2 linked regions of the Cricetulus griseus genome follow. The protein of the gene in region 2 purifies or fractionates together with the protein of the main gene of each other region. This does not show direct contact. Links are inferred from orthologs where the notes say so. Each region holds a gene or a part of one and is shown on either strand. Other genes may lie near its edges.

Region 1 (16,224 bases), on a different chromosome or scaffold from region 2:
AAGGGCCTATCCCAGTAGCCACAATCCTATCAAACTCATTATGGCTTCTTTGTAATATTTCCTGTGTAGGCTGTGCAACACTTACCTCATGATCATGATTTGGGAGCCCAATCCGGATGGAGCGGCTGGCCCGTGACAACACAGCTGTCATGCCATACAGGTTGATGAGGATGTTGGCTACCCGCTTCAATACCAGCTGTTCCTCTACAATGGTCTGCAGACAGAGTGGTGACCAATGATGTTTTTCCCTTCTCTATACTTGGTCACATGTCAACGTTTAAACAGGTCTCAGAAACTTGTCTGGTGCTTAGTGTGCTCAATGTCACCTTCAGCAAGACTTCCCACAGATTAGCTCCTTGTGTTCAGCCCCAGGTAGGTGGCTCCTCCAGGTATTCCAGAGTCACCCTCTGATTGGAAGGTGTTTAGAACACTATGAATAATTCACCAAGAAGGGCCCTTCCAGGGTCAGTGCTGGCTAGCAGTTCCAGCCCCATGGAGATCAAGATTTCTGTTCTAGGCCTGGACTCACAGGTGGGCAATGGGCCCAAAGTAGTTCCATGGCTGCTGACCACGCAGTAGCATAAGTAGTGGAGGCAGTAACCCATACCCGGCAGGACCCACTTACCTTTCCAAAACGGAGTAGCAGGGTCTCAACAGTCCGACCAAAATAATACACATTTTCCTCCAGCTTGTTGGCACTGTCCTATTAGTGAAGAAGACAGACTTAGTATCTCTTCCATGATGTACACTTGATCCACCTAATAGGCGCAGTCTGGAGCTCCAGGGAGACAGGGAAGGGATAGAGTGGAGCATCTGAGTGCTCCCCACTTTCCTGGAGGATCCCAGATACTAGTCACATCCTCCTGGATTGGGAATACCTTGCAGGAAGAGGACCCAAATGTGGGAAGTACAGGTGCTGGGCATACTTACTCCAAGACTAGGGTGTACAACGCCAAGATTGCCGGTCAGTCCCAGGTCCACAGTTCGGCCCAGTGAATCCCGAAGCTTCCGACCAATTGACTCCATGACTACAGTCACATTGCCTCTTTTAAGCTCTCTGCAGGAAGTTCACAGTCTTGTGACTTAAGACCCTGCAGCTGGCTCCCACTGACCAACAGTATGACACCATGGAACTCTGTGCTTTTCTATAGCTGAGCATGTGGGTTCCATGCAGGATGGCTTTCTCCTCCTAGCAGGGAGAAGTCTGTTGTATGGCCAGCTTCCAAACAGTTAAGGAGTCTGCAAAATACTATTAGCATCCTGTGCATGGGCTCCAGCAGGGATCTGACTGCTCTGCCCTGGAATGAGGGCAGCAGAGATAGAGGGGCAGAGAAGAGAAACTAGTCTCAAACTCACCACCTATTAGTGGCACACCACTCAATTCCTTAGCTTCTGGATGTCTCAGCAATCCAGTCAACATAATAAACACTTCCAAACACCAGGGACCCTCCAGTGTGGGAAATGAGCATTAGCAAGGGAGGTGGACAATAGCATTGAATGTGCCTAGAGGACAATGTGACTCTAAAAGGCAATGAGGCCAACTTGGGCAGGTTGCCCTTCCTGCTGATTTTGGTGAGGGGCAAGCTAGAGGTGTGGGTTCCAGACCCTGTCACCACTGTGCAAATGATACTGTATTTGCATGGACCAGCTTTGCAGTAAGCCTGTGTGCAGGCTGCAGGCCCCACCCACTGTTCCAAAATTGGGCAGCCTTTTTCTCTGGCCGCTGCTGACAGGTAGGGACCAAGAACAGATGGGAAAATAGCACATACTTGATCCTTGAGGTCAGGATGCGTCCGGCGTGCTGTAGGCCTGTCAGGGCAATGAACAACCGAAGAATCTCATTGGTTCCCTGCAGCCAGAAGTGTGAAGGTCAAAGCAGCCCAGCAGTGCAGTCTGTGACTGGACAAATCCAGCCACTACTCACTGTCCACATGATAGAGGCTGCCACTGAAGCAGCTTGGGAACAAGGCACAGAGGCAGGCTTTGGCCTGGTGTTAGCGAACACACTGGAAGGGTAATAAGGCTGACTAGATGGTATGGCCTCCCACTGGGACTTTTACCTCTCATAGCCTATCCTGCATAGTCCAGATCTTTCTGTAGGTCTCAGAAGCCTTATAAGACTGAAGCCAGATCTCTCTGGGTGGGATTTGATGACCAGGACACAGAAAGTATGGAACAGATAACCCATGGCTCTCATTTAGACCAGAATCCCCAGGGAAACTATAGACAGCTGAGCAGCAATAGCTCAGGGGAATACACACACACACACACACACACACACACACACACTCTCTCTCTCTCTCTCTCTCTCTCTCTCTCTCTCTCTCTCTCTCTCTCTCTCTCTGCAGTACCCAACAGGACTACTAGGCTTCTAATACAATTCTACTATAGAACAGGAAGCTGCAGGCTACTGACCCACGCTTCACAGCCAGCACCATCCTGTAGTTGGACTGACACCAAGGAGAGAGAAGTTTTCCTGGGAGGAAAAGCTGGGCATGGAGACTCTTGTGGTATTGCCCTTAGCTCTGAACAAAGTCTGCCTCACATCAAAATTTCCCCACCCTTCTATGAATTATGGCCTCAAGAGCAAACCCTGCTGGACTATACTACCTAGCCAGGATCTTTGAGAAATCCAGGCCTCTCCCTATAGGAAGGGCCAATAGAGAGGCAACCCCAAGACAAAATTCAGACATGCCTGGCTCTTTGGGCAGCCCAGCCTTCTGCTATTAGGCTGTGGCTGACTGAAAAGGCAGAGATGTTGACTGGGACCAAAAGACCAAGGAGACCTTCCATTGGAGCTCACAGGAGTCAGCTTAACTTCAATTTACTGAGAGTGAAATCATAGCCTAGGGAGTACAGAATGGAAGCAGAGTGGGATCTGGGACTGGAACCCCTACTCTCCTACAGATTTATCCAATCCTGCCCAGCCAGAAGTAACTTGGCAAAACTACAACTGGGAAGTTATGGGCCCAGTAGAAAGGGCTTTCAGGAGTGTGACCTGAGGGGGCTGTTCGGGCTCTCCCAGTCTAAATTCCCCTCTACAAAGCAAGGGAGGGTGGGAGCACTGGTGTATGGTTAAGAGGGTCCAACCAGAGGATACAGCCTGCCCTGTATCATTGTAGGCTATTTCTGGAGACTTAGCAGCCTCTCTCAGGGCTCGGAAGGCTGGAAGAGCAGAGGGACATCACTAAGGTGGTGTACGGGGAAGCACAGTCGGCAGGGACACTCACCTCAAAGATGAGGAGGATGCGGGAATCACGCAGAAAACGCTCATAGGGGTAGTCCTTCATGTAGCCGGAGCCCCCAAGGATCTGCAGAGCCTCGCTCACACACTGCCAGGCAGCCTCAGAGCTAAATACCTGTCACAGACCCAGACAAGGTTAGAGCCTGGTGGGAGTGTTCCACAAGACATTCCCTTCAGTCTTGTAAGAGCAAGACCTAAGCTACAGGGAGCTGCTGCCCAGGATGCAGTCAGAGAATGTGCAGAAAACCTGAGCTTGGAGACGAGTGGTTCCAGGAGGAACTTTCCAGGTAGGCACAGTCAAGTCCTTTTGCCTTCTTGGACCAGTGACCAGACTGTGTTCCATCCCCAACACTTGTGTCATGTCTCTTGTGCCAACTCCTATGCTTTGTAATTCACCCAGATTTTCCCTTTAGGAAGTGTGATTACTCTTGCCATCCCCACGGACTTCCATTTTGCTCTCATGAGCACTGTCTATGGAACATCCTATGGATAGAGACACTCAGCTCTAGGGTTAGCATGTGGAAGAGGGTCAGCTCTTGGACACCAGTCAGTAGTTGGTGTCCAAGGAAAACATGAGAATGAAATGAATCCCACCCAGCACACAGCTGCCCCTGTTCCTAAGCTTAAACAGGACCACTTCAGACTCTCCAATGTCCATTTCTCTAGGCTGTCACATCTTCCAGCATCTCTCTTAAGAATTCAAGTCCAGCTGAAAGTGGGGTTGTTACTTGTATCATAGCTTTAAAAAAAGACCCTTACTCAACCCTACCTTCTAGCCCATTCCTTTAAGTCATCTGCCAATTTCTACAAACACTTTCTACCTGGGACCCCCAGTGGCCACACAGGACCTGGACTCAGAAGCACTCAGTACCAGACAACCCACAGCCTAGAGATCCTTTCCTGAGATCCAGAGAGGGCAAAAGAAACTAAGAAACAGAACTCATACCCAACAAAGACAAGACCAGATGCCTACACCTAGAATTATCTTAAATATCATAACTATAAATGCCTAGACACCAGAACAAAAATGCAAACATGTCAAGACAATGTGTCCCCTCCAGAACCCAGTAACCTTACTACAGTGGACCCTGAGAAATTCTACATAGTTGAAGCATAAGACAAGGATGTTAAAAAGGATACCAATAAACCTCAATGAAATCTGTGAAAACACAAACAGTATAATCAAATAGTGAAAACAGCTCAAGACATGAAAGTAGAAACAGAACCACTAAAGAAAACCCAAACTGAAATAAAACTGGAAATGGAAAATTTAGGAAGTCAAACAAAAACCTCAGCGGTCAGCCTTGCTAAAAGAGTATGAGACACAGAGGACAGAATATCAGGCATTGAAGATAGAAGAAATGGTCAAAGAAAATGTTAAATCTAAAAAACTCAGGCACAAAACATCCAGGAAAAGACCAAATTTACATAAAAGGAATAGAAGAAGAAACCCAGGTCTAAGGCGCAGAAAATATTTAACAAAACAGAAGAAAACTTCCCCAACCTCAAAACAAAACAAAACAAAAAAACCCAAGCAAGAAATTGCTATCTAAACACATATATATTTTACTGTGTGTGTTTTCAATAGGAATTTTACTGTTTATCTTGACTACACCTTGATATTATAAAATTAACTAACCAATAATAGGTGACATGTTATGTTAGGTACTCTAAGCTGTTTATTAGCACCTTTAGCTTTCTCAATAATTTTATGTTGGTACTTTTACTATCTCCATTTCATAGATAATAATGGAGGCTCAGAGATATTAAGTGACTTGTTCTAGGTGACATGGTTAGGGAATAGCAAATCTAGGATTTGAGTCCAGGCTCCAAAGTTTATTTCTGCTGTTTAGCATGTAATGGCCAAGCTGTGCTTTTCTCAGGTCTTCCCTGACACCAACATTTAAGCATCCATATCCTTGGAAACTGCCGTTTTAGGCCACCCAAGATGACTGATCTCTTTGGCCTCTCAGATACAGCTTTCCATGGTCAACTATTTAGTAAATAAAGCCACAATTACCCCTTTACTCCTGTTCACTGATGGTTAATAAGAAAGGTTGTTGGACAACGTGAAGAGAGGGAGAGACTTCGAAGCACTCAGCCCTACTCTTAAGGCTCAGGAATGAATGCGGAAGAGGCGGTAGAAAGATTGTAAGAGCCAGAGGTAGTCGATGATTTCAAGGAAACAGTTTCCAGAGACAATAGGACCGATACACATATAAACTCACAGGGACTACAGCAGCATGTACAAGACCTGCACAAGTTCAAGCCAGACAAAACCCCAACATGGAGAAAGGGAAGTGGGCACAAATAAGACCTAGCCAAGAAGCAACTGATTGCAGCTGGGAGAGAGAAATCAGTTTTCTTTAATGGAACATCACTGGCATAGCACCCCAACTCCACCCAAGCCCCACGCTCAGTAGGTATACAACACAAACAAGGCTCCCGGGTTAGTTCTGGGAGAAGTGGGGGTTTAAAGGAGAGAAAGAACATGAAATTGAGTGTGTAGGAAGTGAAGGAGGATTTAAAGGGATTTGAAGAGGGGGAAGTACATGATCAAAAGAGATTATATGAAATTCTCAAAAAATAAAAAAAATATTTAAAAAATTAAAAAAAAAACCAAAGCTAGAGGGTTGTGAAAATCAACTTAGAGGCTCTTGCTATTACAGTAAGTATATCAGAAAACTCCGAGAAACCAAGGGAAATAGTCCCAACTGATAGTGATGACCCAAAGTTAATGGATCTGGCAGAAAAGTGGCTGAACAAAGGAGTAGAAACACCCAATGCCACAGAGGTAAAGAAGGTGATTGCTGTATGATGTTTGCCAGGTTCTGTCTATTCATGATCCTAGATTTACTTGCTTAACCCTTAAGTATTCAACTGAAGCAGTACCACTGTTACCCAACTCTGTTATTTGACAAAATTATGACCCAGAGGTAAAGCTAGGAGAATCCTTATTGCAGAAAAGGAAGCAGTTCCTTGAGAAGGGATGGTTTGAAGAAGCCCCAGAAACAGGCATATAAACTTGGGCCTGCTGTAAACTCCAAAGGTTGTTTTAGAGCAATGTTTCTAAGAAATAGCAACACTCAGGCAAACCAGGACATGACCCAATAGCCAACTTGGTCATTTTACACACCAAAAAAAAAAAAAAAAAAAAAAAAAAAAAAAATCAAATTCTTGATGGGTGGTGGTGATGCATGTCTTTAATCCCAGCACTCGGGATGCAGAGGCAGATGGATCTGTGAGTCCAAGGTCAGCCAGGTCTACAGAGTGAGTTCCAGTACAGCCAGAGCTACACAAAGAAACCCTGTCTTGAAAAAACCAAATAAATAAATAAAAATTAAAAAAAATTAAATTCTTGTAACCAGTGACCTCTTTTTAACCTCATTAAACATGTTATAAAACCAAGTTCCAATCAAGAAGAAAGGATGTCAACTATGAAAAAAATGGCATACCTTCCCAGGAGAGTCTAGCTAATGTACATGGCTATAAAGTTTTAACATCTGTGTCTTCTCCTGGTGCTATAGACTATGATCAATCAGTAAAAACGGGCACCATCCATAGTGGGAAGCAGTGAGCTTTCCTGCAGACTCACCCTAGGGTGAGCATCACTCTCTATCACTCCTCCCAGCTTCAACCTAGGGCCCTGCTAACCCAGAAAGCTGTGTGGGCACAAATCGTAAGTCAAGTCATTCTATCAACTAAAAAGAGGAAGACGGATCAGAAAGGCTGTATCTCCCCCAAGTGCTAGCTCTAGTTGAGTTGGGATTACCTTCACCATGGCAGCCTCGATCGAGCAGTCAGGGAATCCTGGTTGGTCTAGCATCCCCGCAGTGAGGTAGGTCATACTCTCCATTACATATGCCTTCTGAGCCATTAGTGCAAACTTTTCCTGAAATGTTCAGAAAAACAAAATCAATAAACAATCTGCATGTGCATAGGCTTCAGTCTCCTAACCTCTTCTCCCAAGAAGCAAATCACATCAGAAGCCTTGCTATCTGGGGGCAATAATGCCTATTACAGTTTTCTTCCTATGTCCCTGCCCACAGGCACAGTACAGAGAACCAGCAACTGAAAACCTCTTCTCATCCCGTGAATCAAAGTCTTCAGTACCTGAATCAAACCAAATTCACTGAGATTCCTATTGAACTGCTTCCTCGTGCAGGCATATTCAGCAGTCAGTTCTAAAGAAGAACAGAGTTGTCAAAACAAACAGAAAACAAACACAAAAGAGGTTTTTGAATACTGGAAAGTTATTTCCTAAGAGCAGCATGATGACCCTTCAACACCCAGAAGGAACTATGAGAGCCTTGTCTTTGAGATGAGAAGCCCAAAAGCCAGGGTTCCCACTTTCTGGCAGCTGGTTAAAGGTGGAATTCTTGCTCCTCATGGGGCTTATAAGCAGCAGGCAGAAGTTAAGAACATGGAATGCTGAGTCAGTTGTGAGGGTATGAAGGGAAGCACTCTACCTCTGTTAACACATCGCCCAAGTCACAGAAATGCTATGACAATACAAAGAGGAGAAAGGCTGGAGGCTCTAGCATAAGCCAGGTGCACCAGGCATCAGAGAAAGATGTGGAAGTGGGCCCACAGATACTTAACCACAACATGAAGGTACCTTCATGTCAGAGCTCTGGTGGGGGCCTCAAGGTGCCTGGCTGTTGATAGTGCCGGGTTCTAAGAGCCTCAGAGGGCACTAGTGACTCTGGCTCTGCCTGCAACTTGTTTCCCAAATATGTCCTTGGGTGTAATCCACTTGCAGCTGGTCTCTAATTGTTCCTATACTCACATGTTTCTTGACTGTGAGAACTCTCACTGATGAGAGCCACAGAGCATGTTGAAAGGAGCCTGAGCCTAACAAGCAGGTTTGCCTTTAGGTCATGATGCATGGGCTTGTGTAATCCACCACCCTCTCTGGGCCTCAGTTTCTCTACTAACCAAATAGAGGGAAGAGTCCAAATGTGGGCCTACATTGTTATAAACTCTAATAGTCACAAAACACACAAGGTTGTGTTTGTTTCCAGCACTTCACAGCCAACATCTATGCCCAAAGAGCCATGGGCTCTAGTGAGATCAGAGCCAATGTTTTCTTAGTGGCTGGCTGGTGGACTGAAGTTCACTAAATAGCCATGTTTGTGCTGGATAGAGCAGCAAAGCTTTATGCTTCTGACAGAATGCCTGACTAGTAATATGGAAATATATTAGCTCTGGGGAAGGAATACATTTGGTCTAAATTAAAGGCCAGATGCTAAACTTAAGCTGTCTGTCCAACTGGCCTAGCTCAGCCTTGCCCACCCAGCAGAAACTACAGACATTCCTGGTATTCAGTTGGTGCTGCAAAAGGCTCCTGCTCCTGACTTACCTTGACTCCTGACTCCTTACTATGGAGATTAATCTTTGGTGTTAACCTGATGGCCTTAGAACCACAAGACACCTCTGGGCACTGATTGTGACAGATTTCCAGAGATGTTTAACTGGGGAGGGAAGAGCCACCTGAATATGGGCAGTATCAGCCCATAAGCTGAGGATCCAGACTGAGTAAGCGAGGAGAAAGCCATGGGAGTTCCAGCATTCATTCTTCCTCTTCCCAGCTTCACACACAATGTGGCCGACTGTTTCACATTCCAGCAGCCACAGCTAGAGATTTTCATAGCCACACCTTCCTTGCCAAGATGGAGTAGGCATGCAAACTGTGAGCCAAAATTAACCCTCCCTTCCTAAAGCTGTTTATGTATTTTGTCACAGCAATGAGTTAAGTAACTATACACACACCTACCAATCAGTTTCTTGAGCATCCCGGCCACAACACTGCCCATGCTGAATCTCCCACTGTTAAGGATGTTCATGGCTACCTGCAGGGAGGGTAGAAAAGGTCCAGAGGTGTAGGGGAAGCTGTAGCCACGCCTTCTTAGGGGCTGGCTACAGGAGTACCTGGGCAGGCTTGTGAAGGCGTGGTCAGAGTGAGTAGGGGGTCTGCGTTTCGGTTTCGTTTTCTCTTTGCTTCTTGCTGTACAGACTGCCACCGGCTGGCTGGTTCGCTCTGTAAGTAAGGCTTTTCCCTATTAAATACCCTTATATTTCCACCTGACTCCGTATTGGTAATTTCCTACTATACAGAGGCATTGAAGGAGGCGGAAGGAGCCAGCTGTACCCACATGTTTTCATAAAAGCAAAGGCAAGTGTCTACAGTATTCCAAGCCAGCATCCAGGCCAAGTTAATCACCCTGCCTGTTTTCAGGCCAGAAGCAAGCAGTTCTTAACCCTCAAACTAGGTAGCTTAGTCACTGTTGTACCTTTCTATCAACATCACTGGCCTCGCTCTGACCACACAAAAAGTCATTGCTCATACTCTAAATGCACCTGTCAGTACTCCTCGTCTGTGGGAAGGGACAGAAACCTAGACTGCGAGCAGCAAGAACTGTCCACCTTTACAGATGAAACAGCTGTGGTTCAGAGCAGTGTTCTGAACTCAGGTGTTCTGTTCTCAGGACTGACAGGAAAGCCTATATACATAGATGACTCTAGTGACTGCAGCCAGCTGCCAAACAACAGGGGCTGATGGCTTAGCCAGCACCCTGCCTGCCTCATTCCTTGCTCTTTCTTCTGATCCAGTACAGTCAACACCTGGGAGCCAGGCAGGTACACAGCTCTGGTTGACATGCTATGAACCTCATCCAGAGTCCCAGGAGTCTCCTCACCAACCAGATTGCGCAAGTGAAGAAATGGAATGAAGCCAGCTTTAATTTGAAAATGGACACCACCACAAGTGCTGGCAAAGATGTGGAACCTCGTACACTACAGGCAGTGTGGAAAGCATTCTTCAAAGAAGTGCTGGTCTCCATACATCCAGCAACCCTATTTCTACATTTATACCCAAAGGGACTGAGAATATATTTTCCAAACAAAAACTTGAAGATGAAAGTTCGCAACAGTGCTATTGACCCTAGCGCCAAAGGAACAACTCAACCTGATGAACTGATAAGATGTGGTTTCCCCACACAGTAGAACATTATCCGCCCAGACAAAGGAATGAAATATGGACTCATGCTGTGACATGGATGATGGTTTGAGAATATGATGTGAAAGCAGCCAGTCACAAAATACACTGTATGAGTCCAGTCATATCATCCACAAACCCAAAGAAGAAAAAAAGAAAACAGCAGTTGCCAAAAGATGGGCGTAGAACTGGAAGCATGGCATTTCTGGAATTAAAAGCAGTGATTGCACAACAGACAATATATTAAAAATGATAGACATGTGCATTTTAAAATGGTAAATTAAATGTCACATTAAAACATTTCTCAATAAAATGTCAATCTGGAGCTGGAGAGATGGCTCAGCAGTTAAGACCATTTGCTGCTCTTGTAGAGTACTTGGGTTCATTTTCCAGCACCCACACAGTGGCTTACAACAGCCTGTGACTCCAGTTCCAGAGGATCAGATGCCTTCTGGCCTCTCCAGGTACCAGGCACATATGCAATTCACACACACAAATGCAGACACTCACATACATACATAAAGTAGAAATAAATAAATCCAGCTGAATAGGTGGCATATGTCTTTAATCTCAGGACTAGGGAGGCAGAGGTAGGTGGATCTCTGGCCAGTGTGGTCTACATAATGAGTTCCAGGCCAATCAGAACTTTGTGGTGAGACTATCTCAGGAAAATAAATCTTTCAAATATAAACATGACTATAAGTGGAAAAGCTTAGGGCCGGGAATGATCGGTGCTCGGTTCGTGGAACTTGAATTTCTCTGGAGCCCACTAGCCTGTTCTTCACTTACTAGGGAGGGGAACTCCATTCCTCACTCAGGAAAAAGGAGGTCTCCAAGGAGAATAAAGACTCCTCATCCTAAATGAGACTCCTCCTCTAGGAGCAAAGCCATTTCTCCAGACTCTATGGGGCTGATTTCTATGCCCAAAGCCATACGAAGTCACAGATAAAGAACAGGCTAGCCTGCTAGGAGAAAGAACAGGGCAGAACACAAGACTCACATGTGAAATGGCTCAGCACTTACATTGGTCTTCAACTTACCTTAAAGCCACCTCCAACTTCTCCAAGGACATTTTCCACAGGCACTCTGGTATTTTCAAAATGGACTTCACATGCTAAGACACAGGGAATTTAAAGATCGTGACTAACAAATGCAAACCATTCTGGTCTTGTCCCAGAGGCCAGTGACTGACTAAGTCACTCATTTAGCATCTTGAAGAACAAGTGAGAAAGGCTGCATTCAAGCCTTCACAGAGCTCATTCTTTGGCTAGGAAGACAAACCATAAATGCAAGGACATGGTAGCATGGTCAGTGCTGTGATGAAATAAACAGCACAGTACAGAGAGAGATGGGGCTGTAAGGGAGGCTGTCATTCTTTTGTAAGGCAACATTTAACAACTGTTGAAACTACCAAAATAGCCAAAGACAGAAAAGCATATGGAGAACACCAGAATTTCCTCAGACCTTAAGTCTTGTTTGCTATGTTAACACAGCCACACCCCTGTACTATGGGGTAGCATCTTCCCAGCTTGGGTGGGGTGTTAGCAGATAGAATGTAGCCAACCAGATGAGTGCAGACACACAACAACCTAAACCCAATTCACCAACAGGCTTCAGGCTGAAACATTCCATGAGAACCATAAGAAATAAAATCCTGCTGCTGTAACCTAAATTCTAAGGTGTCTGACAGACAGGGCTACTGTAGCCAGGGACCACAGCAATCCTGGAAGAAACACAGGCTCCATTGGTGAGTTTGAGTGAAACCATGAGAAACAAGTTTCACAGGACAAGGCAGGGGCTGGAACAGTGGCCTTGCACAATATTCCCTGAAGCACTGCCTGCACTTTCTGCTACATAGACAACGTACCTGCTGGCATGTTGAACCAGAGAGACTCAGGATAAGGAAGGTCTGGGCTCAAGGAAGAGTCAGGCCAAGTGCTGTAAGATGGACTCAATGCTTTTCATTCCACTGCTGCTCTGGCAAAGTGTGGGGGTGGAATGCCACCAAACTGACTTCTCTCTCTGCTGGTCATATTTAAGGGTTGGCTACATGAGCTAGAGGACCTGGCCATTCTTTCAAAGGCTACTCCACTGGGTATGGGGAAGACATGCCTTTCCTTTTGACCTCATGTTCCTGGACCCTCTTTTGGGGTCCTGCATGCTGCTGGGGCGTCAGCTTCCCAGCTGTCAACAGGTAACTGACGCCATTGAAATGCTCAGCTCCAAAGACATAGGGTATACAGATGTGGGCCTTGATGTGCCAGGAACTCAGTCCCCTGCAGGAAGGTAACTCTAAAACTACACCACGAGAATAGTATAAATGCCATGGCCATACTGGGTGAACAGAGGGCAACAAACAGGACGCCAGCCTCCACTGAAGCAACGGCTGACTAGGCAATGAAAGGCAATGAAAGGGACAGTAGGAAGAGAGATGGGGTGGCCTGCCACAGGATGTTTACCCAAGACGTGCCTTGGTTGTGTGATGTCCACTACTGCCCTACGAAGGCTGAGATTCCAACTGACCTCGCTCACCTAGAATCAACAACACTGAATGCACCAAGGAGCATAGGTTGCAACTGCATTCTTAATTTGACTTTACTACAATGAAACTAACTGAAACCACAAGTAATTAAATGCCATTTCCGTTATAGTTCTTATAGTGGTCAGTGAACCTGTCTCTCAAGTCTCTCTATCAGGCTCATGAATAAGCATCAGCCACACTACTTACTGTTGGAGCCTCGAATGCCTAATTTCTCTTCAGGTTTCCCATTAGTGACTCCGCCAAAGTCTCTTTCTACGATGAATGCAGTGATTTTGTCTTTTATGGAACCATCAGAATCAACCACCTCAGTTTTTGCAAACACAGTAAAAATACTGGCTAGTCCTCCATTGGTGATCCAAACCTGAGAAAAAAAAAGATTAGACACCTATCAGCTCTATCCACCTACTTAATTTCAGGCCAGACATGAAGCAGCTCCACAGCAGGCAAGACATGGAGAATGCTCCGTATAAGACAAGCCTGTGTGGAAGAGCACAGGAGCACACTCAACTTAAGTCTCCCTAGAGAAGGGATGGAGCTCAGCCAAGGACACTAAGATGGCCTCTGAGCTCCACTCATTCCCAGACCACTGGCAGACTTAAAATAAGAAGGAGCCTTTTCATCACTGCTGCAAAAATGCAAATGTACAAACTGAATATACTGTATTTACTTATCAACCGACCAAAGCGAAAATGGGATGAGGAAGAGCGTGCTCTCCAGTCTGCAACGGATGGGAATTATTTACTTTTGAATTCAAGGAAACAACTGATCAGGGGGAAAGAGTAAGAGATGAACAGGGAAATCTCAATGCTAACCAGGGAAGAGCCATTATTATCCTTGCCCCCATTTGCTAATGTTATTTCAGGGTTCTATCTTTCAGCAATCCTTGATGAAATCACAAAAATGCCATCCAGTGATGTCAACAGAGGAAGGACTACCAAACGTGAGTGTGTAACTCCTCTAGCTGGGTACCAGAGCCATGGAAGTGCACTGCACTATACTTTGCATCTTTGAAATTTTGCAGAACCAGAATTGAAAATAAGCACACAAGAGTAGTTTTAAGGACAGAATCAAGGAAATTGTGGAGCTAGACTGCCTTGCTACAGTCCTGGCTCTGCCAGCCACTCAGCTATGCCTCCAATTGTTCTGATAAAGCAGTGGCGTACATCCAGTGCGATGAGTAGAAGATAGACACACAGAGGCAGTAAAGACTGACTAACCCAGACAGAGCAATGACATCATGGTCATACCTTGGATCCATTGAGGATGAAGTACTTCTTATCTTCACTTAATGTAGCTCTGGTCTGAATGGAGGCAGCATCACTCCCACTGCAAAGGCAGAGATGTGTGACTAAGGGAGAGTAATACTAGGAATAAGATTAGAATAATTTTGAGGGCTTAGAAATAAGACAGGCCTTTAAAATACTGAGTCAGACAAAAAAAAAAAAAAAAAGAGACATCAACTGTTCAACTTCAACTCTGATGCTTGAACAAGGAAGGTGGTCAGAGTCTGGGAGCTAAAGAGAACATTCCAGTAAAACTTATACTAATAAGATTTGTGTGGCTAACAAGCAAAAAAGTGGTAGTGGAAAGAGACTGGGCCGAAGTTTCCACACGTGAATGTAGGCTCCAAAGGGCTTATTAGTTTCTGTATGTGTTCGGGTCACAACAGGAGGAACCCTGTTCAGGATTTCAAATGAAGAGAAGCAAGAATAAACAAGGCCCCAGCCAGACTTGCATCAGAACCTGAGTCTTGCCCAGGCCTGCTTCATCCTCGCTGTGTAACTTTAGACTGGGTACAACTTCTCTGAACTTTAGCTCCTAATTTAGAAATGTGGACTCCCCGTGAGACCACCCCATGTGCTCAGAGACTCACAGAAGTTTGAATGCATCCCTGCATGTCAAGAGGCCTGTGAGCCACAAACACTGACGTAGTAGATGCTGTGGGAATGTCATCTAAGTTTTAATTGGCAGGAGATAAGATAATTATCCTATCAATAGTTGCAGATTTTCTGAAGGCTCCTGAGAAGGTAATACAAACCAGCTACTCCAAACAAGTTCCATGTCCCAGGGAGCTTGGATGGTGCCAAGTATACAGGTGACATTTTGAAGAGACACACCTGGCTGGCTCTGTTAGGCAGAAGGCTGCAATGTGTTCCCCAGATGCCAGTTTGGGCAAATACTTGGCCTTCTGTTCCTCATTGCCGACCAATATGATCCCCTAAATGAACACACAGGCCAAGTGAAGATGAGAGTGAGGTGCACTGAAGGGCAGCCCCTCTGTTGACAATATCTATTTCACTCAAGAGAAAACAGAGTGAGTTCAGAACTGGCAGCCTCAGACACTGCTTAGAAGGCCAACCCGCTGAGGAAAGGCCAAATACTTATGCACAAGGGGCAGCCACAGTGGTAGCTTTGGAATCAGCATCCAGGATTTTTATGCCTGCCTATCCCAGTGCATGCCTGGGTGACCCTGGGTCAGATACGGATCTTCTCTAAGTCTCCACATCATGATTTGCAAGCTGAGGGCCTCTCCTTTATAGGCAGGATGGTTTGGATGCTAGCATGAATATACGGGGATGCTAGAACTATACCCAGGATGGGAGTGTACAGTTTCAAAGCTGTGCTCCCCAAGTCCAACCCTATTGCTAAATAACTTCAGTCTGGACACCTAATCCTGGGCTGCAAAGCTGGATGCTGAGTTCATTTAACTGTCTTTCACCTGTATACAGCAGAACTAACCAGCTAATATGAAACCCTTGAGGACTGTGCACCTTTGAAGCTGCCCCCACCCCAACATGCTTTCAGTTCAGGGGGCAGGAAAGGTATATGTGCAGACAGGACAGCTCAGGGAAGGATCCATTTCCAAAGACAGCACTGACCTGTCTCAGGTGCAAGTGCAGCTAGGCTATCTATCAATCAAGCCCATTTATGGCATAGCAGCAGTCCCCTGTCTCCTACTTCTTCCAGAAAGCCCCAAATAGGACCTCAGACAACTGACCTTGAGGCCAATAGCCTGATGTGCTGCCAGGGTCACTGTGATAGACCCGTCCATGCTGATGATCTCCCCAAGCCGAGCATACATGGTGTTGGAGAGGCCTAGGCCACCTAAGAAAGACAGACCAGTCTAGCTGACTCTCCAAATGGGGAAAGAGATTCATTTTATTTTTCTAATTTTAATGTAATAGCAGAAACCACACACACACACAAAAATTAAAAACACAAAATGGTACAAGGAAACTATCATCTATAATCTTATCCAGAATATTTCTGTATACATATTCAGATTTCTCTGAGGCAAGGAAACATGTATGAAGTTGAGTTGTTAATATGGACGTCTACACAAACAGTAAGTCACTGAGTATGTTGCAAATCCCTTCTACCAGAAAGACATCTACGATCCAGGTGGCATGTGGTCAAGGCTCTCCTGCTATGGCAGGACAA
Region 2 (16,879 bases):
AGACAAGGCCACCCTCCTCCCATCCTCTGTCCAGAAGCTCCGTAAAACTGAATGTGTCTGAACTGAATGTGAACCCAAGGGTCACATGAGCCTGATCTCTCTAGTCAAGTCCCTAGACAAACTGCTGTGTCTCCTTTTACTGCTTAGAGTCACAGCTGAGCTTAGACACAGAACTGTCTGCTTGACTACACACACAGTGTCAGCATTATTGATCATGGTAAAAAGGACCAGGGATCAGCGTGTGTGTGTGTGTGTGTGTGTGTGTGTGTGTTCACGCACATGCATGGTGTGATAGCACAAAGTATATTCTTTACACACCACACTTAAAAACCAAACTCAATGTCAAGGAAAGTTCTGGCACCTCCTTGGTGCCTCCTGATACTTCCCTTGTTCCTGAGGTCTTTGCTCCAGGCAGGCCCCACATGGCCCCCTTTCTTGGTCTTTGGTTCCTGGGACCAAGTACCACTTGTGTCTGAAGCAGCCAGTCTCACTGTTGGTAAAAGCTCAAGTGTGCAGAGCAAATTCAGAAACCATTGAGTTAAACACTTTTAATGCTTTCATTAATAAATATGCAAGTACTCACGAAAATGGAACCCACGGAAACAACATCCCTATGGACTCCAGTTCACTTGCTGTTTCAGGCATTCGAAGTGAGCGTCTTTCCTTCTGGTTGCCAAGGAGTGATTGGCATGGTGGCTTTGCTCAGTATTATGGCTTCCTCATCAGCTCCCCGAACCCTTTAGACACCTGTCTTTCCCCTTTCCGCACAGCCAGGCCTCCCTCCTCCAGGGCTCCTCACATCTGCAGTCACCACCCAGCCAGGGGAATAGATGGGGGGGGGCACTTGGGAGTGCCGAGTGCTTTTTCTCTTGCAGACTATTCTTTTGAAAAATAGTTTTTAACCTCTTGCCTCCTGTACCACATTTAAAGTTTGCCATCATGGGACACACCAGGGATGGAGAAGGTGGGGCAGGTTCCCCTACCCCTTCCCTTGTTTCTCCTGGATAGAACGGGATATTCTTCCTTGATAGTCAGCCTGTGTCTAGGGATGGTGGGACTGGGGTGGGACTCCATGTAGGCCAGAAACTCTGGATGTAGCAGGAAGGAAGCCAGGTCCTCCCCAGGGACAGAACAGAGCTCCCAGTCCCCCCAAACTGTGCTCCTCCTGCTCTGTGACTGCTAGTCTTTGGAAGGAATTCAGATCAATGGTCACTCTGCATTTTGTTGTAGCCAATGTTCAGGAAGTGGTTTGATAAAAAGGGTCACTGTGGGTGAGACTAACCCCAGAGTGGCAGCCGTAGACGCAGGCAATGCTGTGACACTCTAACAAGAGATGGTGTGGCCTCAGCGAAGCTTTGGGTGCCCTTCCCAACTGGGGTGCCTGTTCCATCACTTCTGCCATTTTTTTTCTTTTTTAAAAGAAAAAAAATTTGTCTTATTTGTGTTTCTTGGTCTGTGAGTGCATGGGGCACATTGACAAACAGATACCTCTTTTGCCCCTGGAAGTAGTGTTCTGAGAGAGCAGAGGTGGTTGAGAAACACGTCTCAGAGTATGATTTAGGGGGTCATAAATACGTGCTTCTCTGTGAAACCATCACAAGTTAATCTTAATGCATGTTAAGAGTATAACGAAGCGATAGAAGTCAAACTTTTCTAAAGCTGGTTTGAGTTGTTCTCTTACAGGGAATTTATTTTCACCTCCAGAGTCACAGAGAAACCCTGTCTTGAAAAAAAAAAAGAAAGCAGGTTGATGTTTTTCTTTTTCTCTTTTTTTCCCTAAAGGAAAATTAGTAGCAGTCGGCATAGCAAGAGGCAGCCAGAACACAGGGCAGACACGGGCTGCAGAGGGAGTGTGTGAACTATGGTGGAATCCCCAGCAGTTGGCGTCCTTGTTCCTAGAGTGGGTTATGGAGCATCCTCGGTACCCACAGCGGCCTCCGGGAAGCAGCCAGGATGCCCAGAAAAGGAGCAGAAAGAAGGTTGTGTTCCTTGGGTCAGCACCCAGCCCTCTAGCTTCAGGTTGGAGCTGGCCAGAGTAACACTGGAAAACTCAGTCAGAGATAGGAGTAGGCAGGAAGTCAGAGAGCCGGGCACCTGCTCCCGGGTGGGCTCACCTCCTCTGAAACTGGGTTATGGCTGAAACTTTTCAGGAAGCACCTGTGCTTTAAAAAGGGAATCTTCCCCTTGGCTTCTTGGTATCGGTAACTTTTACCTCCTCCTCCCAGAAAGCAGGATATAACTCAGATCCAACCATCCCTTGAGTAGGAATGAAGGAAGGAGCCCGCCGTGAGTGACACCATCCCTAAGCAAATGATCCCTGGCTGTATTAACAAGGTCAGCCAAGCATGAGCCTAGGAGCGAGCCAGAGCGTGAGTCACCAAGCAATGTTTCGCCATGCCTTCTGCTTCAAGTTCTTGCCCCGATTTCCCTCTATGATGGACTGTCACCAGGAAGTAAGTATAAGCCAAACAAACTCTCTGCCTACCTCCCTCCCCCGACAAGTTGCTTTGGGTTAGAGGGCTTTTATCACAGTAACAGAAAAGCAGCAGAGACAGAAAACAATACCAAGATGTTGCTGTGGGATTTTATGCCTTTGGAGTATTCTTTTGGAAGTCTGTGGAGGACTTTGGGATTTAAGCTGGGGAAAATGGTTCCGTGTTCGGAGGTTAATGGAATGTTCTGTGGGAGTCTGGATGCTAAGAATGCAATGAGAAGTATGAATGGTGGAGAGCAGACTCTGAGGGTTCAGAGGGAAGTAAGGTCTTCATCTGTGCCATTTGTGTGATATTTTGAATTAACAACCCATGGTTGCTGCTCAGTTGAGGTTGAAGAACCATCCACGATTAATGAGAGACCAGCTCACTGAGGTAAATAAAGTTCTCTCTGTGTTTCACTGGGACAATGGAAAGTATTTCCTCATGGTGTCACCTAGAAGCTAATGTTCCAGTGGCCCCTGAACTTGAAAATGTATAAGAGTCCCCATGTGGCACTGGTTTTAAAGGCATGAATGCTACATGACTAAAGGAGTCACGGAGTGCAGCTGAGGCCTGGCACTGTGTGGTAGGACTGCAGTTTCTGAAGAGAGGCCATAGGTGAGCGTGCAGCCTCAGCTCCACTGGAGCCTCCACACTGGAGATGCTGGGAGTGCTCATTGCCTACATGAGCACTTGAGACAGACAAGCTTGGTGTGGAGCTGACCTCAGACTGCGAGACAAGCCATGTGTGCTGCAAATGACCGAGCCTGAGAAGCGGGGCTGCCCAAGCTCTTCAGAGTTGAGCTCCAAATGTCAGACACAGCGCTACAGAATTTGGATTCACATTGCTGGATTTAGTTCTGCTTGGATCTGATTGTCCATAGGCCCCAGCTCTTCCCTTTTGGAATAAGAAAGTATGCAAAGTCTTGTAAGAGACTTTGGATTTTAAAAGGGGCTTTGGACTTTTAAAGTGTTGAAAAATTTAAAGACTGGTGCTTTTAAAGCTGTGTGACCTTGTCTGTTTATGACAGCAAATAAGCAGACAAGTCAGGAGGTCTGAGTAAGGAAGATGAAGTGAAAATAAGGAAGATGGAGATATTTGGCGGATTGATTTCTCTAAGTCCGATCTGGAATGACTGCTGTCTTCCCAGGATTTTAAGAGAATTTCAACACTTACAAAAAATATTTATATTGTTAACAATAAGTTTACTACCAACCTTCAGAATAACTTAAAGGTGAATAATAAAATACCACTAAAGAAAAAAAGTTGTATGATCTTTTACAATATAACATTAACATAAGGTCTTGGGGACAAGGTATTGAAAGGTTATAGTTTAAAAGTGATATGTTTGTGGGTCAAATTGACAAGTGTCAAGAGTGTCCTAGTTAGCTTTAAATTTCAATTTGACATAGCCTAGAGTCAACTGAGAGAAAACCTCAACTGATACCAAGGAATTGCCTAGATGGGCCTATGGGAATGTCTATGGGAGATTGTCTTGATTATTAATTGATACAGGAGGGTGATGGGGAATGTACTGTGTATGTTTATCTTATTGATTGTTAAATAAAATACCGTTTGGCCAATGAGACAGCAAGTTAGACGGGACTGGGAGTCAAAGAGGATTCTGGGAAATGTAGTAGAGAAGTGGTGATCCAGGCAGGAAATGACATAGCAAGGAGACTCATATTTAAGCAAAAGAGAAACAGGAAGGGTCCCCCTTTTCCCTTCCTCCACCAGCGGCAGGATATGAGCCACTGGCAAGGAGGGACACCAATAAGGCATCCGATAAGATAAGTCTTATAAAATATATAGGTTTATGATAGTTAAGACTGAGCTAACAGATGAGAATCCTAGTCATTGGCCAAGCAGCATTGTACCTAATACAAGTTTCTGTGTATTCATTTGGGCCTAACTCGGGCGGGCGGCTGGCATAAAGCGCGCATGTGGCAGTGGGGCTCGGCGGCTTTTGGTGGAAAGATTTATCATAACAGGAGGGCCCAACACACTGTGGGTGTCACCATCCCAAGGCAGGTGGTCCTGGAATGTATAAGAAGGCTAGCTGGTAGCATGCATGTGTGGTTTGTTCAACTAGTGCACAAAAGCAGAGACGAGGCCTGCAAGGGCCTGTCTTCGTTTACAACCAGAGCTCATAGTTCAGAATGAGTTTTGATACACACAAGAAGGACTACAACACACAAGATAGCTCGAAGGGAGCATGGTGTTGATGGTGAGATTGGTTGGTTTATAAGTTTAAAGAATAGGCAATGAGAAAACCAAGACATACGAATCACCATGTAATTTTCACGTGATAAATGAATATAATATAGTAAAGCTAGCTGAGCGTGAGTCTAGGAGGAAGCCAGACAGCAGCATTCGTCTGTGGTTTCTGCTCTGAGATATTGCCCTGACTTTCCTCAATGGCGGACTGAGACCCAGAAGTATAAGCCAATTAAGCTCTTTCCTCCCCTCAGTCGCTTTGGTCAGAGTGTTTTTACCAGAGCAACAGAGATGAAACTAGAATAGAATCCAAGAGGAGGTTGCCATGACCTGAGCCTTAGGGAGGCAACAAACCTGGGCAGGGGAAGCTAAGAAAATTGTATTTGTGGTTCAAAGCTAATATTGACTTGAAATTAGCTCATCCCTCAAGATCTGCATCCATGCTTCAAAACACACAACCACCTACCCATCTATGCAACCACTCACCCATATATCAACCCAACCACCCAAGAACTCATCTACCCACCACCCACCTATCTCTCTATCCGCCTCTCTGTCCACCCATATACTCACCCACCCACCTGCTCACCTATTCATCCATCCGTATTTTTTAAGGTCTTCTATAAGCCAGGCACTGAGCTGTATACTAAATAGGAAGGGGATTTAAATGCATATATAGGAATGCAGAGTTGTCACTGGTAGACTCTAGGCAAATGCTATACTGCCAAGCTATGTTCCCAGCCCTTTACCTTGAGGTAGGTGCTCTACCACTGAGCCACACCCTCAGCCCGCAGTTCAAAATTACCACCAAATGTTTGCTGTGGTAGTGAAAGAGAAGGAGGAGAGGAGGAAGCCAGATTCACAGGACCTGGCTGGGAATGCACCCCAAAATGACCCTGTTCTGTGGTAATGTCAGCATTTCTTGGAACCAGAGATGAGGAAGGGCCTGCCACAGAGTCAGTTCTAAGGAACACTGAAGATGAAGGGGAGGGACAGGGACTTATCTAAGGGACAACTGCCTCTCTGCTGCTGCCAGGTTCCTCTTGCAGCTGAAGGAGTCAGGGGAAAGTAGATTTGATGTACACTCTCCCTATGTTTCACAAAGCCATCAACTATGTACAACTTACCATTAAGGCCAAACAAAGGACTGGCCCAGGGCCAGACTCCCACCCTGCCTCTGATCCCTGTGGTTATTTGACTCAGAGGGTGACAATGGTCTACTTAATCATTTACCATGCCCCCGGGGTGGGACAGGCCTGCCACACACCATAACCTCATTTAATCCCTTGTACGGCACTCTACAGAGTGGTCCATTAGCACAGCCCATTCAACAGGGCTGGAAACTAAGACTTAGAAAGATTGCATGGCTGGGGAGTGGCTGGGCTGGGAGTCAGACCTGGATGCCCCACACCCACAGCCCAGACCCTTGCCATGCTGACTTGGAAACACAGTAGGAAATTGGCCTGGGCATCTACCCAGAGAGAAAACTATGAAGGTCTTTGACCCTTCAGAGGGTCATTTTCACAGATGCTTGTAGATGCCAGGTGTGCCTCCCTCCCACCATCCAGTCCTGGTCTCAGAGCCCACACCCTTGCAGTGAAGATTTTGAACAGGGTTGCCTAATGTCATAACCAGCATGCAAGGGCAATGCCATTCATCGTCTTGGTGACAGAATAATTACTCAGGGAAACCTGGATTTTCTCTCAAAAAGTTCCTTGTGATGTTGCTTTGCATTGGACACATGACCTTTTGGTTACTTGTGACAGTCCTGTCACATTCCTGTCCGATGATCTGGCATCACACAGGGACCATGAAAGAGAACAAGGGGGACCCGAAGACACCACTGGCAGCGAATCCCTGGGCACACTGCTGGGGAAAGGGTTAAGCCTAATGCTTCAGTGTGATAGCTTAATGCCTTCAGCTCACCTCAGGCTCTACCAGGAAGGCTGACAATCCCAGCAGAGCAAACAATAGCTTGGATTGTTCTAGAGAAAACTAGTCTGGCAGCATCATTTGCCAATAATTTCCTAACAGCTTTAACTGTCTTCTGCTTCCTTGACTTCAACCCAACCTGAAAGCAACAGCAGACAAGGCCTCGTCTTGGGCACAGAAGCCTGTGAACCTGACTCCTGCTGGGAAGAGGTGATGGCAGGAGGGAGCTGAGGGACAGAGATGAAGACCCAACAGGTCATACCTTTGGTAGGGTTAGGAATGCACCCAGGGCGACTGTCCTTCATAGCAAATGTCAGGGTTTCTCGGAACCAGAGACCAAGAAGGGCAGCTAGGGCAAGACCGAGTACACCTGTCCCTTGAATGATGGACAAGACTGTGATCCATGTGCACCCAACTTCTGTTCTAGAACCATCAGTGGGAATGTCAGGTTCTGGGAATGGTACCATGGGAACCTCTACCTGTCACAAATGAACAAGGCCCTCTTAACTCGTCCAGTCAAGTTTTTGCAGAGGCCTACCTTCTCTGTCACTCAGAGCCCCCACAGCGGCGTTGTCTTCACTCCACGTCAGGGATTCCTTGCAGTCACTGCTTGCTGCGAGGCTGGGTGAGATCACCACTTCTAACATCGCCTTGTACCTGAGTGGAGACAAAGGGAAATTAATTTATTCATTATTATTCATGTTTGCTAATGAATCATCTTTTCCCCCTAAGAATGTAAATATTAAAAGCTGATTACCTATTCCTAACCTTCTAATAGATTCCATATAATACAAATTCACAAACTTTTAGTCAAAATGGAAATGAAGTCCTTGCCCCTAGAGAGCACGCCCACTCCATCTAAACACCCCTCCTGTGCTTGGAATTTCCCATTAGAGGTATTGTGTTTTGGTCTCTCTTCTGGATTGCCTTTGAACTGGGGAGACATCCCAGGAGAGGAAGGGGTGACAGGGTAGGGGGAAGGATTGGTATTTCAACTCCCATAGACTAGAGGAGCTGGGCAAGGGCACTTAGAGTTGGCTGTGGTAGCAAAGTGGGCAGTATGCTGTTTGTACAGGTGGAAAATGGCATAGAAGACAGTCACAGAATTTCACAAGTGCCTCTAGGATGGGGCCTGGTGCCATACCTCTGTAATCCTAGCTACTCGAGATGCTGAAGTAAAAGAATCCTAAGTTCAATACCAGCCTGGGCTACAGAGCACATTCAAGGCCAGCCTGGGCTACTTTGTGAGACCGTGCTGCAAAATGAAAAGTAAAGAGAGGTCTAGAGAGCAGGTGCTTGCCTTACACATGTGAGGCCTTGGGTTCCATCCCTGGGACCCGAGTGTCTCTAGGTGGTATGCCCCACAGCCCAGAGCAGCTGCCCCTTCCAAGAAAGCAAGCTCTGAGGCTGGAACTGCTCCAGATTTTGACATGTCACAGGGTTGGGGGTGGGAGTGTGTGCGTGGGGGAACACAAGGTGTCATGGGGTTTCATTTTTCATTGACACATCTCATGCTGGCGCTGTAACTGTAGTTGCTCCTAAGTGCCTGTATGTTATGACTGGGAAACAGGGCTGCCAGCTAATGTTCACAGCATGCGGGGTAGCCGTGCTCAATGGCCTAGACTTAACTCACAATACTCATTACTGAGTGCCACGTCAAACAGTAACAGGCAACACCTACTGAACATTTCTTAAGCTGAGGCCATCAGGGCATGGCCAGTTACCACGACACTGATGGGACACACCATGGCAGGACCAGGTCCAACACAGAAACATCATGGATTCAACTCTCTCTAGTTCTGATACTTGCAGACTTGAATCAAAGAGATGGAGACCATTAAAATGCATCTGTGTTAAGACCATGGTGCAGGTTAAGAGGCAAGGTATAGAACGGACGAGCTTGAGGCAGCCGCCCAAGTGCCCATGCGTCCCACAAGACTGGGCTTTGGCAGACAGCATGCTCAGATAATGTCTCTTAGGCAGCCATAACAAGGACTGGGTGGAAGCCCATGCAGCATAGCGACAGATGGCCAGAGTCCAGCAAAGAGGCAGAAGGGTGCCATGGGAGGACAAAGAGTCTATGAAGCCCTAGACCCACAAGTCAGGATTGTACACTTAAGATGTATGAGGTCAAAGGAGAGCAGCATGGGCTGCAGAGGAGGCTCAGGAGTTGGGAGCATGTATTTCCCTTGTTGAGGCCCCAGGCCTGGTGCTTAGCACCCAGTAGCAAGGGCGGGAGAGGAGGCTCAGGGGTTGGGAGCATGTACTGCCCTTGTTGAGGCCCCAGGCCTGGTGCTTACACCCACATCAGGAGGCTGTGGCCAACAGTCAGTTCTAGGGATCCGACTCTCTGGCTTCTTTTGACACTGGTCCATACAAATGCACATAATTGTTTTTAATAACTAAAACACAACAAAACAGACAGATACACGAAAACCAGAATTGTGGATGGGAATGATAAAATGTGATCTCTTGAGGCAAGCTGGGAAGGAGAGAGGCTAGAAGCCGGGAAGGGGACCCTGGAAGTTCAGCCAGATCTAGGTTTCAGCTGGAGCAATGCCCCCGGCCCCAGGTCAACTCCAGCCTGTCTCCTCCTCCAACCTGTGAGCTAAGAATAGCTCCCAATTTTTCACATTTCTTTCTTTGTAGTGTTAGAGATTGGACCCAGGGCCTTGCAATGTTCAACAAGTGTTCTACCACTGAGTCATGCCCCCAGCCCAGGCTGTCATATTTTCAAAGGGTTGGGAAAAATCCAAAGAAGGACACCACTCCCCAACAAGTGAGTACAACGTAAAACCCAACTGTCAGTGGCCATGAGTAAAATTCCAACAGGCTTCAACCTACCGTCATATCCACGGTTACTGTTCCACTACAGCCTCGGGGTATAGTCCTCTAAGAGAGGCTGTGGGTGGATCCCTAAAGCTGAAGCTATTTAATATCTGGGAGAAAAAAGCTTGTAGCAGGCTTTTTTTTGGGGGGGGGCAACAACCTGCTCCTAAATCATGACACAGAGACTTATTATTAGTTATGAATGCTCAGCCTAGCTTAGGCTTGTTTCTGGTGAGCTCTTTTAACTTCAATTAAGCTGTTTCTCTTTGTCTACATTTTGCCTCGGGGCTTCTAACTTTTCTTTCCTTCTGTATACCTTACTTTCACTGCTTCTCACGTCTGCTGGCTGGTGCCAGGCTTCTTGCCCTGAGTGTACCTTCCTCTTTCTCCCTCATTCTCTTTTTCCTTCTCCCTTTTCCTCTTCCCATTTATTCTCCCTGCCCACCAGCCCCACCTATCCTTTCTCCTACCTAGCTATTGGCTGTTCAGCTCTTTATTAGACCAATCAGGTGCCTTAGGCAGGCAAGGTGAAACAAATGCAACACGCCTTTACAGAATTAAACCCACACATCCTTACATCGATAAACAAATGTAGCCCACCTTTACGCAGTTAAAGCAATATTCCACAGTAGAAACAAATATAACACGTCTTTGCCCAGTTAAAGAAATATTCCATGGCGAAAGCTTATCAACTGTGAAGTAGTCTTCAAGCAAGGTTGTGGCTACACCATTGTTCTATGGTTTCCTATACTCCTGTATGCCTGAGGCGAGTTTTCACAGTGTGTGGTGTATGCATGCATGTGTGTGAGGGCACATTCACCTGAACAGGTGCAGCTGGGAACATAGACTGATGCTGGATGTCTTCCCTCAGCCACTTGTCTACCTTAATTTTTCCAGACAGCATCTCTCACCGAGGCTACAGATGGCTGTTTGGTTAGTCTGTCTGGATGACAAGCCCCCAGGTACCCCGGTCTCCTCTCCCAGACACTGGGGTTACAGCTGTGGGCCATGATATGCAGCTTTTGATGTGGGTGCTAGGGATTCGAACTCAGGTCCTCATGCCCTTAGAGCAGACACTCTACCTGCAGAACCACACCCCTCAGCCTGAAAGTGCTTTATATAAAGTTTTTAAACTGGTGAGAGACTCCCACACAAATTAAATGGGCTCTTGGGACTTTACATGAACAGAAAATTATTGGTCCTCTTGTTCCCCCCCACACAGGCATCTTAAGTGTCCATCTCCTTGTTCCCAAATTGCCACAGGCACTGCAGGGTGGAGGTTTGAATGTCTCCTTCCTTTAGCCCTGAAGGGTGGATTGTGCCCTCTGCAGCAGCAGACTTCAAATCTGTCACCTGATTGTAGGTGAAAGAAATTTACACTAAACCTCCATCACTTCTTTCTTTTTCCAGGGTGTCAGGAGATAACAACTTTAAAAGAAAGAAGATGCAAAGACCTTGGTCCCCAAATGTCACCTGCTTGTCTCAGTGTGGCATTCAGAGGCTGAGGCTGCTAGTGAAACTGTCAAACCCAGTTTATAAGCAGCATGAATAACGTTCTCCCTGGTACTTAGAAGTAGCTGGAAGAGTTTAACAAGACAACACTGCATGACAACCTAGGCTCATGCCTTCTCTTGGAAATGAGAGGATAACACCATGATTTTGCTTGGCAACTACAGCTGGAGCCAAACAGCCAAGGCCCAGACCAGTCAAGGCACAGGGCTGGCATTTGCCAAAGATTGTACCATGTTTGACTCTTGTCCCCTCTTTTTCGTATTTACTCTTCTCTCGGGTCCCCACAGTCATTTGCTCTGGAGAGCCCAGGCATATGTATTTTCAGAACAGAGCAGAGAGACACCCCCAACCTCTGTCACATGACTTAGGGATTTTACACAGTTCTGCTGGCACTCCTAAGAGCCTCCTCATATCTGAATGTCCTTACTACGACACTCTGTTGGGTGTGTGTCCTGGAGCCTCTGCTATGGGACAGAAGGAAAGTCATTGAAATCTGGTGGATTTTATGTGCTTTCCCAACTAAGCTGTCAAAGGCTTGGAAATCAATTTTGTTTTCCCCATAGGACCCAACACAGTATCTTGTCATTCTGTTACCCCGTTAACACCTGCTGGAGGGAAGAAGGAAGAGTGAGGGAGAGTGACAAAAAAAGCTGGGAAGGTAAAGTGCCTCCTGCATGAGGACCTGAGTTCAAATCCCAGCACCACGTAAAAACATGAGCATGGTGGCACATGCCTGTAATCTCAGGTTGGGAAGAAAAAACCAGGAGGATCTCTGGCCAAACACTTCAGGCTGATCAGTGAGCCTCAGGTCCCAGTGAGAAAGACTGTCTCAAAAACTAAGGCTAGTGCCCTAGAAGCAACACGCACACACAAATAGTCAGTTCAAGGCTAGCCTGGGATAGACAAAATCCTGTGTCAATTTAAAAAATAAAAGGAAGAAATCCATACTTAGTAACCAGCATCTTTCGATTGGACCAAACCCTTTCCTTCTTCCCTTCATTCCCCACCAGACTCTGGACAATGACTCTAATCTCTAATGTATGAGATATGTAAATATGGTCGTCATTGTAGACATCACTGTGCCATCTTAGGGTGGCACCTGCTCTAATTTACAGGCTTGTTAGTATTTTTATGAAAGACTCAATTATTCACATATTTTATGTTTATGAGTGCTTTGTCTTCATGCACACCACAAGGAATCTGATTTCATTACAGATGGTTGTGAGCCACTATGTGGTTACTGGGAATTGAACTCAGGACTTTTGGAGGAGCAGTTAGGTTCTCTTAAAAACTGAGCCATCTCTCCAGGCCCAATTGTTAGGCTTTTATCTTCAATCTGCACTGTAACTTTTAAACACATGCATTGCTGGGTAGAAGCCAAGCTTGTAGCTGTAAGTGCATTGCCCTGGTGGGGGCATTCAGATGACTACCATCTCTCACCCATTCCAAACAATGCTGCAATGAACATCTGACTATCCATGTAAGCAACATCTATCTATCTATCTATCTATCTATCTATCTATCTATCTATCTATCGTCTATCATCTATCTGTAATTTACATATACATGTCCTGTGTGTGTGTGTGTGTGTGTGTGTGTGAGAGAGAGAGAGAGAGAGAGAGAGAGAGAGAGAGAGAGAGAGAGAGAGAGAGAGAGAGAGAGAGAGAGAGAACATCAGTAGAAATCTTGAATGTCATTCCTTAGGCACCTTCCACCTTTGATTTGAGACAGGATCTTATGAGCCTGGGACTATGACTTATAGCCTAGGCTGACTGGCCAGTGAGCCCCGCATTCCTAGTGCTGGGATCACAACTGTGCAATGCCAGGGTGGGTTCTGGGGCTTGGATTCAGGTCCTCAAGTTTGTGAGGCAAGAGCTTAATGACTGAGTCATCTCTCAGCCCTGTATCCACGTATCCTCAAAATGCATGCACACATCCCACATGGAGCAAGATTTCCATGTGACTTTTAAAGTTAAAGTTGATCAAACATTAACAGCGGTCCCTGGTAATTCCCCTGCTTTTGAAGACTCCCACCAGTCACGCACAGGCTTCCAGTTTCACAGCTCCATGTTACATTTGTGTTGTGGTTTCCATACAAGGGTTCTCCACAAAGGCTGGTGTGTGGAAGGCTTGGTCCCCAGCTGGGGGATCCAGTCACCGAGATAAGGCACCTGATCTGTGATGCACTCCCAGTGGTCTGTCTCACCTCACCCTCACAGCCATGGGGCCAGGCAGTGTGGCCTGAAACCTCTGAAATGAGGCATTGACTCTAAGCAGCAAGGGACTGATTTGCACACTCGGAAGTACCCAGAGCCCTAAGCCGCATACTGAAAGGTAGGAAACAGTATTTCACATTCGTTTTCATTCCCATCTCTCGCGCTGATGGCATGTTGGGGAGAAATGCGTATTCATTTCCTTTATTCTTGTCCATCTTTATCATTATAGCTTTTCTTTGTTGCTGTTGCTTAGGGTTTTTTCTTGTTAATATGTCTGGGAAACTTATATTAGTCTATTCAGATGTTGTAAATTCCTTTCTCTTTTCTCTCCGACCCCTTTCTTTGGGGGCAGGGTCTCATATAGCCCAGGCTGGCTTGGAAAACCCTGCATAGCGGAAGCTGACACCTGATCTTCCTGCCTCTGCCCTCAGAGGGCTTGGATTATGGGAATGGGGTGCCACTCCTAGCTCAAAACATCAGCTTCTTCCCCCACCCCCATGATGGGAACCTAGGGCCTTGTGCATGCTAGGCAAGTGCCCATCGTGGCTGCATCCCTGGTTCCACATGCTTGGAATTTCTTTCCATTTGTGTATTTCCTTCATTTCTGGAAAGGAAAAGGTATATTTAAAATTTTATTCTCTGTGTATGGATATTTTACCTGCATCTGTATCTCCAGTTCCAGAGGACAATGCAACACCCTCTTCTAACCAGGCACACACAGACATTCATGCGGTCAACTGGGTGGGTGTTGGTGATAGCGTAGCTTGAAATTTAGGTCACTTTCTAAATCACAATAAAAAACCAGACACTAGGAAGAATTTTTTTTTTTGAGACAGGGTTTCTCTGTGGCTTTGGAGGCTGTCCTGGAACTCATGCTGTAGACCAGGCTAGCTGACAACTCACAAAGATCTTCCTGTCTCTGCCTCCTGAGTGCTGGGATTAAAGGTGTGTATCACCATAGCCTAGGTAGGAAGAGTGTTTTAAGGCACTCAAAGACAAAGAAGGCAATACTTGAGGGCCCAGGGTCTCCAAGATTGAGGATGGTCAGAGTTAAGTCTAGCTTCTACCTTCTTTGCTCTCAAGACATCTACCAAGTCATGAGCAAGAGCAACATCACAGTGTTTTCCCATCTCACTGGGCTGTTGAGACAAAGTCACTAGGGCAGCTCAGACACAAGGGGACATTGTAGAAATGTGAGGGCTCAGTGCGGCTTGACATTGTGGAAGGTGTTGCTTTTGTGGAAACTGCTGAAAGCTGGGGGCGGGGGCACAGCAGAGAACCCAAGCGGAAAGGGGTTCTTCAGTAAGAAGCAGAAGAGAGGGTTGTCCCTCAAAGATGGGGGGTCTTAATTAGTACCTTAGGCTTGTGGGGTTGGGAAAGTAGCTTAGTAGATAAGAGCGTTTGCCAAATAAGCCATGAAGACAGTTCAAATCTTCAGCACCCATGTGAAAACCTGGATGTGGCCACCTGTGCACCTGTGACCCCAGCGCTGGGGGAGTTGGGGGGGGGCAGAAGCAGGACTGCTAGGGTTTGCTGGATGCCAACCTAGCTCCAGGTTTAGTGAGAGACCTGTTACAAGGGGAGCCAGTGGACAGTGATAGAGCAGGGCATTAGTCCTTCTGTGGACTCAACATGTACACATGGATGTGTGTGCCAACATAGACACACACCGCTCCCACCATGCACAAATAAAGCATATTCCAGGGTTTCACTGATCCATGACTTGGAGTAAGGGCAAGACAAATAGATATTGCCCCGTGTTACATCTTAATCTCACATTGGAGGAAGGATTCCTCTGCCATCTGGGCCTGACGAAAGAAAAGCAACAGTTTCCTCTAAGAAAGATGTAATGTCCTGGAGTTTCCACATTGCTTTCAAACACAATAAAAGCAAAACAACAACAAAAACAAAACAAACCCCCAAACTACCAGACATGTAAGGAGCCATCACCAAAAGATCAGAGTCCAAGACTGAAGGCCATACAAATCACCCGAGAATCAGAGATCAGGGTTACAGAATGGGCTTCCCAGTAACTGTGAAAAAAGGTATAGAGAGTAGATCAAAGGTAGAAAATGCACTAAAGCACAAGAATGTAAAAAAAAAAAAATCAAGTGGAAACTGCAGACCTGCAAAATGAAACAAGCAAAATTGAGAATACAGTGCAAACCTCAGAGAAATCACAGAGTAAACCACGGTGAAAGAAAAGATTAGTGAACTGGAGGGCCAATCCGTAGGTGTGGCTCAAGAAAATTGGGACACAGGTTTTGAAAAAGCACAGAACAAAAACTACTCATGGTAAAAGAGCATACATGTAAAGGGGGGCACAGGAGCGTTGGAAGAAGGAAGAAATAAAACACAATGTTTTAAGGCAAACTGACATAAGGCTGTCACAGATGCATTGAGGGCATGGGTGACAGCATTAAGAAGTTCTGTAAAAACATGCAAGGTCTCCACAGAGCAGGTAATCCCTGGTCTTGGAACATTTGAGCTGCTCATCCCTGACTTAGAACAGGAGGGATAAAAGATAGATTATATTTAAAGAAAGAATGATAATAATAATTGAAACAGATTCTCTAAATAGAATAAAGACTGATGACTGAATTTACATCTCAATATAGAATTCCATGCCAGTGAAGAAAAAGAAAACTCTTTAAAAATGAAGTTAAGGGTCTGGGGAGCTTTCTCAGTGGGTAGAGTGTTCACTGTGCATGCGTGAGGGAGTGAGGTCAGTCTCCAGCACTGTGTAAGCATGAGGGAGTGAGGCCAGTCTCCAGCACTGTGCAAGCATGAGGGAGTGAGGTCAGTCTCCAGCACTGTGCAAGCATGAGGGAGTGAGGTCAGTCTCCAGCACTGTGCAAGCATGAGGGAGTGAGGTCAGTCTCCAGCACTGTGCAAGAATGAGGGACTATATTGATATATTATTTATGATTTATTAAAGCTTGCCTGAGGATTCAGAAAGCAAAGTTGGCCACAAGCCCCAGAAGCCAGGCACACACCTTTAATCCCAGCAGCCTGAAGCCAGGAGGTGGAAGGTTCACACCTTTAGTCCTAGGACTCAGATAGACCGATCTCTGTGAGTCCAAGGGTACCCAGATCTACACAAGATTGAATCAATTTAAAAGAGAATTATAGCTCACACCTTTAACCCCAACATTAGGGAAGTGTATAAGACAAAAGCAAGTCTCAGAGAGGCATTCATTCTCCAGCCACGCTGAGGAGAGGTTACAGTCTGAGGATTGGTGAGAGCTTGTGGAGACAGGACCAGCCCATTGAGCCTGAGGTAGAGGTAAGAAGCTAGTGGCCAGCTGCTTTGCTTTTCTGATATTCAGCTTGGAGCTTGAACCCCAATATCAGTCTCAGGTCTTTTATTTATTCATGTTACAAGGGACCGAGCTCAGTCTCCAGCACCGTGTAAGAACCAGGAGTAAGAAGACTGTCCGTAACTATAGTGTGAGGGGTGCAGGGACAAGGCAGATCCCCGGGGCTTGATGGGCAGCCCGAATAGTCCAAACAGAAAGCTCCAGGTTCAAGAAGCGATCTTGTCTTAAAGATTAAAGGGGAGCACTATGGACGAAGACAACCAAGGTTGACCGTCTGTCTTCCATGTGCACAGACCAGGGGATGCATCCATACGTAGACATACTCACATAGCTCACACACAAATGAAAACCAAATAAAAACGGAGCAAGAGTTGTGCT

The links.
Region 1: the proteins of Eya2 (region 2) and Acad9 purify together in Homo sapiens (affinity purification with mass spectrometry; 3 studies listed by BioGRID and IntAct, with this or other methods). This does not show direct contact. The link is inferred for Cricetulus griseus from reciprocal best matches to the Homo sapiens genes EYA2 and ACAD9.

Annotation. Positions count from the first base shown.
Region 1 is NW_023276806.1:113,478,265-113,494,488, forward strand, and holds part of Acad9 (complex I assembly factor ACAD9, mitochondrial), read right to left. Parts: intron 15,889-16,224; coding exon 15,782-15,888; intron 15,002-15,781; coding exon 14,901-15,001; intron 14,110-14,900; coding exon 14,031-14,109; intron 13,145-14,030; coding exon 12,970-13,144; intron 11,356-12,969; coding exon 11,282-11,355; intron 9,097-11,281; coding exon 9,021-9,096; intron 7,429-9,020; coding exon 7,358-7,428; intron 7,137-7,357; coding exon 7,017-7,136; intron 3,360-7,016; coding exon 3,231-3,359; intron 1,850-3,230; coding exon 1,770-1,849; intron 1,058-1,769; coding exon 931-1,057; intron 704-930; coding exon 626-703; intron 215-625; coding exon 86-214; intron 1-85. UniProt on the Homo sapiens protein: As part of the MCIA complex, primarily participates in the assembly of the mitochondrial complex I and therefore plays a role in oxidative phosphorylation.
Region 2 is NC_048599.1:13,737,618-13,754,496, forward strand, and holds the start of Eya2 (eyes absent homolog 2), read right to left. Parts: upstream 7,272-16,879; coding exon 7,163-7,271; intron 4,666-7,162; exon of another isoform or gene 4,540-4,665; intron 1-4,539. UniProt on the Homo sapiens protein: Functions both as protein phosphatase and as transcriptional coactivator for SIX1, and probably also for SIX2, SIX4 and SIX5.